Saccharomyces cerevisiae S288C: one gene and its partner. Changing the gene in region 2 together with the main gene of any one other region gives a genetic interaction. Each region holds a gene or a part of one and is shown on either strand. Other genes may lie near its edges.

Region 1 (5,629 bases), on a different chromosome or scaffold from region 2:
CCATTGCATCCTTCTCAAGGTTCTGCTGGAAATCACCATCCATATATGATGGTTTATCCCATGTCACCACCTCCGCCTTCTGGGTTAGATGGAAGCATGATCCCTCCTCCAATAAATGTAAGCCAATCACATGCTGCTAATCATGGCAGTACCCATGTTCATGCGAACGAATTCATATCAAACGATACTGGTGACATAAATGAAGATAACAAAGCTTATAGTTTAGATTACTAAAAATGATTGGTCGTAAAAGCTGCAAAAGATGTATGTAATTCAGCGGTGATGTTAACTTTAAAAGTGCAGTTTCGTTTTCTTTTTCGTCTCCCTATTTTTTTCTCTGGATCTTTTTTTTTTTTTTCACTTGGTATTGTTTTCATCCTTCTTTCCTTCTTTTACCTTCTTTGTCTCCTAATATAACAATACATACTTTCGAGTTTTGATTACAAGTCACTCGAAATGTTTTTTTCCTTTTATATATTCTTCCTTTTGTCTATTCTTATATACACATATTTTAATTTTTGGTAGATTTTTTTTTTTTTACTTACATTTTGTTACAATAGAGAGATTTACCAATGGTGTATCTCGATTAAATACTTATCTAGAGCATTGAGCAATTTCTTTAGGTCATGTCTGCTAATTTCCTCTTTGATGATAACCAATTCCATGGGGACCTTTCCATTGAAGTACTTGAGCAACTTGTTAAAAAGAATCTGGATATCTGAAGGCTGACCATAAATACATCTATAAAGCCATCTTTTTTCAATCGCAGTGGCTCTTTCAGGTTCCAAAATTATAGTATAGTCATGTTGCATTTCTGGATCATCGTATTCGAAGTGTAGTATTTCTTCTTCATCCGCAATAGCTATTTCATTGTCATCACGATCATCAACACGACTATCATTTTCGTTATCTTTTTCGTCCACATCTTTGTTGTTGTCGTTGGACTGCATGCCTTCATTCTTTCCTGAACACGCTTCGCTGGCGTTTGCATCTCTACTTTGCCCATCTTCATCATCCAGCTTTTTATCAGTTTTTTTGTAGTCCATGCTGGGCCTTCTAGCAGTATTAGTCTTACGGAAGCCTTCCTTTTCTAGATCCTCATCTACTGCCATTTTTATGTGTTTGTCCACTCGGATATTTATGAAAGTCAATAATTGGGTTACATACCCGTACTGTATTAACCACGCTAACGCGTTCAGGTAAACTGGCTTATGTTCCCTTGATGGGATTATGTTACTGTACGCTTGAGGTTTGTCCGTGGACAACAAACTTAAAAAAATGGGTAAACTGGGCAATGATGGGAATTTGGATCTGAACAACATCGAATTTTGATAAATTAGTGGTACTCTGTCGCTTCCACTCTTATTATTTTCGCGATCGTCCATTTTTTTCACGTTCCCATCATTTTGTGAAGTACTTTTATAATCATCTATTGTATAACCTTGAATAGGAGCCAAGGGTGAAACAATATACGTGTATTTGGAGCTTAGTGGGATCACTATTCTTGCATGTCTCCAATACATTAAATGCAATGCGCAAGAGCGCAGTATGCTTGATTCCAATGAGTTTGTTTCTGTAGTAAGGTCGTCCAGTGAAGAAGGGTTATCTAATAAATCAGTTATCAGATAGCGATACGACCTTAGAGGGATATTTGGCTGGATATTTCTGACTAAATGTTTCAATATGATAGTGCCAATATCGTCCTGGTATGAAAAAGTTTCGAGGGAGCTAATAATATTATTTGGCTCGTCCAATAATAATAGCGCATAGTTTAAAAGGTCATCATTGTCGTCGCAGTAGTAATTGCTTTCATTGTCGTCCCCGTCATCCACATTTGCTGCTCCACAGTGGCCGGTACTATTAATATTATTGCCAAACCTGTATATGTTATTATTGGTATCACTGAATTGAGCCTGATCGTTTTGACGATTTTGACTTTCAATTCTCAATGATGATTTTTCTAAAAATTTCATGTTCAAAATGGACGTCAAATATGAGCCTCTTAGCACGGGTTGCAGTTTGAAGTTTGGCATTTTTTCAAACTCGTTTTGAATCGGGATTTGCAAGGAAATTACTTTATCGTCATTGATCTCAAGACATGCGATTTCATTTCGTTGGATTTTATCAACACATTCCGTTAGCGCCCTAGCCAACGAAGATTTGGCTAAAATTCTTTGGTACAGATACTTCCCCTTGTTTCCTGCGCCTCTTATAGATTGGTATGTTTTCGAATGTTTCAGTACCCGTTCTTTTTCCTTTAAAATTATATGGCATTCGCTAGAAATGTACGAGGTTTTTGATTGCACATATCTTAACAATAATGATAACCTTGTAACAACAAACTGATACATGTCATCAATCCTTTTATTATATTCGATTAAATGCGGATTCATAACAAAGCATACATGAAACATGTTCATATTTTTGCCCAAGTCTTCCTTTTCTCTCTCAAATTCGTTTCCACTGACATCAGTATTTATCCTCAAATTCGGCGTATCAGTAGAAGCCTCATGACCAATATTACTGTCATAAACAGTGTCAGCTTCACCACTATTAACTTTCTTCAAAGTATTCTCACTCAGTGATGAAATTTTGGAAGCGATAGATTTCTTTCTACTGATGTTTGTTGTAGTACTCGAAGATCTTTTAGAGCGGGTTTTATTTTTGTGCTTGGATTTTCTCCATCTGCCTTGAGAATCTACATGAATAGGTAAGCCTAAGAAGCAGAAATTATCCACCGTGAATTCGAATCTGGTATTGCACATTTCCCTCTCAGGGCTACAAAATTCTGCAACAAAATCATTATCAAATTCTAGAATTTTATTTATATCCTGGAAGTTTTCCTCTTCAAAAAAAATTTCATTCATAGAGATTTTACCATCCTGCAACATTGCCGAAACTTCCATGTCTTCTTCTTCAACATCGTACTGGGTATGGGAATTTCGTTGGCTCGTCGCGGCATTTTTATGATAATGGTGGTAACGATGGTGGTAATGATGAGGTGATTGGCCAGGAGTGTCGTTCAGGCTACTATTACGAAGTTCTTGGTTATGCTCTCCTGTACTCGATAAAGATTTTTTAGAAGAAATTGAACAACTTCCTGTAAAAGCATTTCCATCAGTCTCATTGGACGTATTTTTTAACAGTTTGTTGCCTTTTTTAGTGCTTTGTGATGGCTTAGATTTAAGCTTTCTTACTGGAGAATGTGTTTTTGAATCAGTACTCTTCTTGGTACTCAATTTATGGAAGAAATTCTGGGATCTCTTGGAAGCGGCCCTTGATTTGTTATTAGTCCCAGAATCTAGATATGATTCCGCTACTGAAATACTATCGTTTTCCATTATCATTTGTGGTGAAGTTGGAGACATTGAATCCGTAGATTGGAAACTCGAATTAGTTCTTGATAAGCCATCTTGCGGAGGGGAAGATGAGGATGAACTTGAGGGAGAAGAAGATAAAGAAGATGACGATAAGGAAGAAGATATAGAAAACGAATCGCTAGAAATGTCTAAGTAGTCTGTGGACAATTCGCTGTCACTTAATCCCGATGATGACGTTTCAGATTCAGTTTCTTGGTATTGAAAAGTCCGAGAAGTATCTTCGATATCGGTTTTTCTATAACCTACACCATTAGTAGCCGCAGGAATTGAACTTTGTGATCCTACAGTATTAGCATGCGATCTAGTTGGAGGTAATGTCACATTATTAGTATTAGTATTTGTCATTGATGGCGTAATAGCGGTATTGTAACTTTTCGCTGACTCGTTTAGAGCAATTTGAGAAGCTGTTTTCGTAGAGCCAGAATTAAAGAGTTTTTCTTCTTTATTTGTACTTGTGTTTTTATTTAGATTTGCATGGTTTCCATAGAGGTGCTGATGCTTCGTTGGATTATTTGTTAGAAATGCTGTATTGGAGGGTGGGTAGTGATAAACTATTTGTGGCCCCGAATGCGTTGAAATGACGAGGTGAACACCTAGTAGACATGAATTGGGTAAACATTCATCCATTGAAGCTTAGTTTCTACCCAAAAGATGACTCTGTTCCCTTTTTTTTTTGAATTTTCTTCACATTTCAATAGCTTATCTATGTTTAATGGTATTTCAAGATATCACAAGCGAAAAAGTTACTTAAGAAAAAAGACTAGTGATCCTTACATGGCTTATAACTCATTCACCATCGAATCATTGTAAAATCATATGCCATCTTAGTATAGTGGTTAGTACACATCGTTGTGGCCGATGAAACCCTGGTTCGATTCTAGGAGATGGCATTTATTTTTTTGAAATTGTATTTTTTTTTGGACTAGTATTCATTATCAAAGATTTCAATTTATATAATATTTAAATGTAACCGTTTTCAATTCTTGAAAAACATTTTTTATAAAGCAACAGCTCCCATTCTTATTCATTTGTATTCAAAAATTCTGGCATCAATCTCGTTCATTTCAGCTTTCTTTTGGAAAAAAATTTCCCGCTGACATTCTATGATGACGTTCTTTAATGGTGAAGTTGCAATATCCCAGCTGTTGGCAGTCAGAGATGCTATCAAATTCTTGGCTAAGGAGTAGTCGCGCTGATTCAAACTCAATAATTGAATGGATTTGTTATGCACTTCATTATTTTGTGCCAAAACTTGCGTAATACGAATTCCTTTATAGTTTGCCATCGTGCAAATATAAGCGTTGCGTTCATTCGAGTGAGTATAATTTAGGGCTATGCTAATCCCATAGGGGTCCGCATCGGTAAATATAGAACAGTCCGATATCAATTTGGAGCAATATTGTTCTAGTTTTTTTAGGAATAACCTTGTCAAGAAATCTGGAAATCCCTTACCTGTAATGAGCATGGTATTTGTACTCAACTTGTGATAATTATTTACTAATTTGGTGAAGACAGCTTCTTTTTCCACTATTACAATATTACACATACTTGTTGTCCCTAACTTGATGACCGCATCATCTTGGAAAAATGGAATTAGACAGGGCTTACCAGGGAAAATTGTTTGCTTTTGCATCTTTGGTTCATTTTCACATGTCAGAATATTGTCATAAATATCAATGGGGAAAGGCGAATAAACTAAACCCTTTTGAGCTGGTATAATGTTTAAGGATTTTCTTGGAGAGAGCTTGAAATTAAAGCGTATAACGTCCAGCCACTGGACTACGTTTGCTTGTCTTTGAAACAATTCCACGTTGGAGTAGAAGATATCTCTCACTGTAGTGTTTTTACCTAGCGGTAATTTTTCCATAACGACTTTCAATAAGTTTAAAAGGATTGCGCATCTTTTCAACTTGAACTGATGAGTGCATAGATGCGGGCCATTCAAAGGGAAGTCCAATGTTGTGTGAATGTCAGGACTGCTTGTATCGCCTTTTTTTTTTTTGTTTTGAAAGACGATTGAAATAGGCTGTTGATGTTGCTCTAATGAATTAGCCGCCAATGACAGGAAATGCTTAATATGAGCCAAAACATCTGCGTTTGAACAGGGAGTTCCGTTGGAGTGACCATTGGAGTTCAAGTGAATGGACCGTCTTTTAGGAGTGAGTGCTTTGACCAATTCCTGCCTTGTTTTATATTTTTTCCGCAATCCCTCCAAAGCCATGAGAAGGTGAACTTAGTAAATCGTAAAA
Region 2 (3,447 bases):
TAAGACGCCTATGCAAGGGCTGGTAGGACAGACATGCTATTCTTATTTTGACGTAGAAATAACGTAGTTAAGATTGAAGAGGAAAGAGGTATTCTATATACAATAAATATCAGTGTCCGTACTTCAGATCCCTGAAAAAGTTCATCATACCGGTAAAAACCACCAACATTAATGAACCACCGGGTGCTAGTCTACATACTTTGGGGACGAAACCTTTGTACAATGCTCTGAAGCCTTCTTCACGGTATATGACCAATAGCGAAGGTAGGCACCAGTTGTATTTTTTAACAGCACTGCTGACCGCGTCCACACTTTGGATTCTGGATTTCACCACGTCAAAGGGAGTGTTAAGCATGGTCCCGACCGTACCACCGATCGCACCTGCAATAAGGTCATTTCTGGTCTTTTGTCCCTTTGTCTTTGCTACGGGCATGGAATTTCTCACTTGGTAGATAACACCGAAGTAGCCACCATTCCAAAGAGCGTTTCTCCACATGGTAGATTCGATACCCTTGTATAGCCCCATAATACCTTCGTTTTTGATTGTTTTTTTCAAACAGTCCATTGGTCCAAGATAGCTGGACTTGACGTCTTGCATCCTGATTTTGATCAATTCAAATGGAACAATAACTGCAGCTTCTGTCATACCAGCAGATGCACCAGCCGCAATGGAGATCTTCTGCGTAGTTTCATTCGTGTTGAATAGGTTTTTGAAGATTTTTTGATATTGATCGTTACATGCAAATTTGGTGGCTCTCTTTGGTGCTTCCATCAACATTGGTGAACTAATACCTCTGTAAAGTCTGCTAAACCCTTCCTTCTTTACAATTTTTTTCAAACAATCGATGACACCATTATATCTCTCTACTTGCTTTCCTACTGCAGCGGCAGTAGGCGTCGTCACCTCCAGTTGAAATCTTGTCTTAACAACATCAAGCGGATACATAACAGTTAACTCAGAAATACCGGCGACGGCACCTGATATGAACTGATATATAAAAGGCAATGGCTTTGCGTTTGAGTCTGATGACATATTACTTTGATGCTACCTCGAATTACTTGACTATATAGAATCTAACCCAGTAAAAAAGTGCAGAAGAGCTTCAGACTGAAAAAACGAAGAGAACGTTTTATAACAGAATTACTTGCAAATGCATGTCGAGTCGAAAGTGATCGCGACTGCACTGAGTCATCAACAACAAGATCTTTCGAGATAGACAGGCAAAAAAAGCTCACCACGAAAAAACTGAAAAAAAAAAAGTTCCAGAGGAATTTGCCTGGCATAGAATAATAGCATTCGTAGTACCACTATTTCATGTTAGAAATGCACAAGCAATTGAATGTCAACGACAGAAGAGGACTAAGTAGTATGCAGAAGAACTAGAACTCCTATCTGAGAAGAACTAATTGGTCAACCATGTCTCATTGTCCTTACATTTGATAAATGCCGATCTTCTAAAACAGTAAACACACGTTAGCATCGCCTTGTGTTAACGAAGTAAAAAGGCTTGCTAAACCGAAAGTACACAATATGCTTGTCTTGAGAAAGTTGGAAGAAAATTATAGGCCCTTAAATATACTCAAAATGCAGAAAGTGTCATCTTCTTACATGGCATTTTTTGGCCGTATGACAAGGCGCATTTCAACCTCCGATGGAGGAAGTAAACTGAGTATCGAACTCAAGGGTAAAACAAAGCTTACCAGTAACTTGCTGCATATTAGAACTATTCAATAACGTACACTGAGGGTAGTAACAAAGCGTTTTGCACTTTTCTGATCGTGGTACACATATATAAGCGTTTGTATGAAGCTACTAACCTTCCCAGGTCAAGGGACCTCCATCTCCATTTCGATATTAAAAGCGATAATAAGAAACAAATCAAGAGAATTCCAAACAATACTGAGTCAGAACGGCAAGGAATCAAATGATCTATTGCAGTACATCTTCCAGAACCCTTCCAGCCCCGGAAGCATTGCAGTCTGCTCCAACCTTTTCTATCAATTGTACCAGATACTCTCGAATCCTTCTGATCCTCAAGATCAAGCACCAAAAAATATGACTAAGATCGATTCCCCCGACAAGAAAGACAATGAACAATGTTACCTTTTGGGTCACTCGCTAGGCGAGTTAACATGTCTGAGTGTTAATTCACTGTTTTCGTTAAAGGATCTTTTTGATATTGCTAATTTTAGAAATAAGTTAATGGTAACATCTACTGAAAAGTACTTAGTAGCCCACAATATCAACAGATCCAACAAATTTGAAATGTGGGCACTCTCTTCTCCGAGGGCCACAGATTTACCGCAAGAAGTGCAAAAACTACTAAATTCCCCTAATTTATTATCATCTTCACAAAATACCATTTCTGTAGCAAATGCAAATTCAGTAAAGCAATGTGTAGTCACCGGTCTGGTTGATGATTTAGAGTCCTTAAGAACAGAATTGAACTTAAGGTTCCCGCGTTTAAGAATTACAGAATTAACTAACCCATACAACATCCCCTTCCATAATAGCACTGTGTTGAGGCCCGTTCAGGAACCACTCTATGACTACATTTGGGATATATTAAAGAAAAACGGAACTCACACGTTGATGGAGTTGAACCATCCAATAATAGCTAACTTAGATGGTAATATATCTTACTATATTCATCATGCCCTAGATAGATTCGTTAAGTGTTCAAGCAGGACTGTGCAATTCACCATGTGTTATGATACCATAAACTCTGGAACCCCAGTGGAAATTGATAAGAGTATTTGCTTTGGCCCGGGCAATGTGATTTATAACCTTATTCGGAGAAATTGTCCCCAAGTGGACACTATAGAATACACCTCTTTAGCAACTATAGACGCTTATCACAAGGCGGCAGAGGAGAACAAAGATTGAGAAAGAGATCAAAACTGCGAACTCTCTCCACTCCCAGTCTGTGCTTCTACGCATTCATTGAAAATGGAAAGAGGACGAAAGTGTGCAAAAAATTAGCCAACTTCCCTTTATATAAATATCGTATACACATACATACATTCCTTCTATACTAATCGCTCTTGGATACACTAAAACAAATCCCTAATGCAAACATACATGTTATTATGCCATACAAAGTAAACACGCAAGTATATAAACGTATAAATGGATATATAGATATCTCTACGCATATTCTTTACATTATCATAGCATGAACCTTTTTCCCTTTTTCTGCTTTGTCTAATTTATAGTATTAGTTATGCTCTAGTGCTCTAATGGAAAAACTCGTTAACCGTTATGCTTGGACTTTTTGGAGGATTTGAGGCAGTAGCGTTTACATCATTTTCGGTACACGATGCAGCATTACTTCTAGTAGAAGTATCAATGGTCAATCCTAGTGGCTTAGAGGCGAAAAGGCATTTGGTGCCTGACGCTGACTTATCCTTATTTTCTAGTTGTGAAGGTAATGATGTCTGTGAACT

The links.
Region 1: mutations in MCT1 (region 2) and NPR3 together harm fitness more than expected from each alone (negative genetic interaction), as found in Saccharomyces cerevisiae (2 studies listed by BioGRID).

Annotation. Positions count from the first base shown.
Region 1 is NC_001140.6:58,557-64,185, forward strand, and holds NPR3 (Npr3p), read right to left. Parts: upstream 4,008-5,629; coding exon 567-4,007; downstream 1-566. Other genes in the region: RIM4 (Rim4p), read left to right, coding at 1-234; SPO11 (DNA topoisomerase (ATP-hydrolyzing)), read right to left, coding at 4,405-5,601. UniProt on the Saccharomyces cerevisiae protein: Component of the SEA complex which coats the vacuolar membrane and is involved in intracellular trafficking, autophagy, response to nitrogen starvation, and amino acid biogenesis. Mediates inactivation of the TORC1 complex in response to amino acid starvation.
Region 2 is NC_001147.6:755,916-759,362, reverse strand, and holds MCT1 ([acyl-carrier-protein] S-malonyltransferase), read left to right. Parts: upstream 1-1,804; coding exon 1,805-2,887; downstream 2,888-3,447. Other genes in the region: ODC2 (mitochondrial 2-oxodicarboxylate carrier), read right to left, coding at 110-1,033; RCN2 (Rcn2p), read right to left, coding at 3,238-3,447. UniProt on the Saccharomyces cerevisiae protein: Involved in biosynthesis of fatty acids in mitochondria.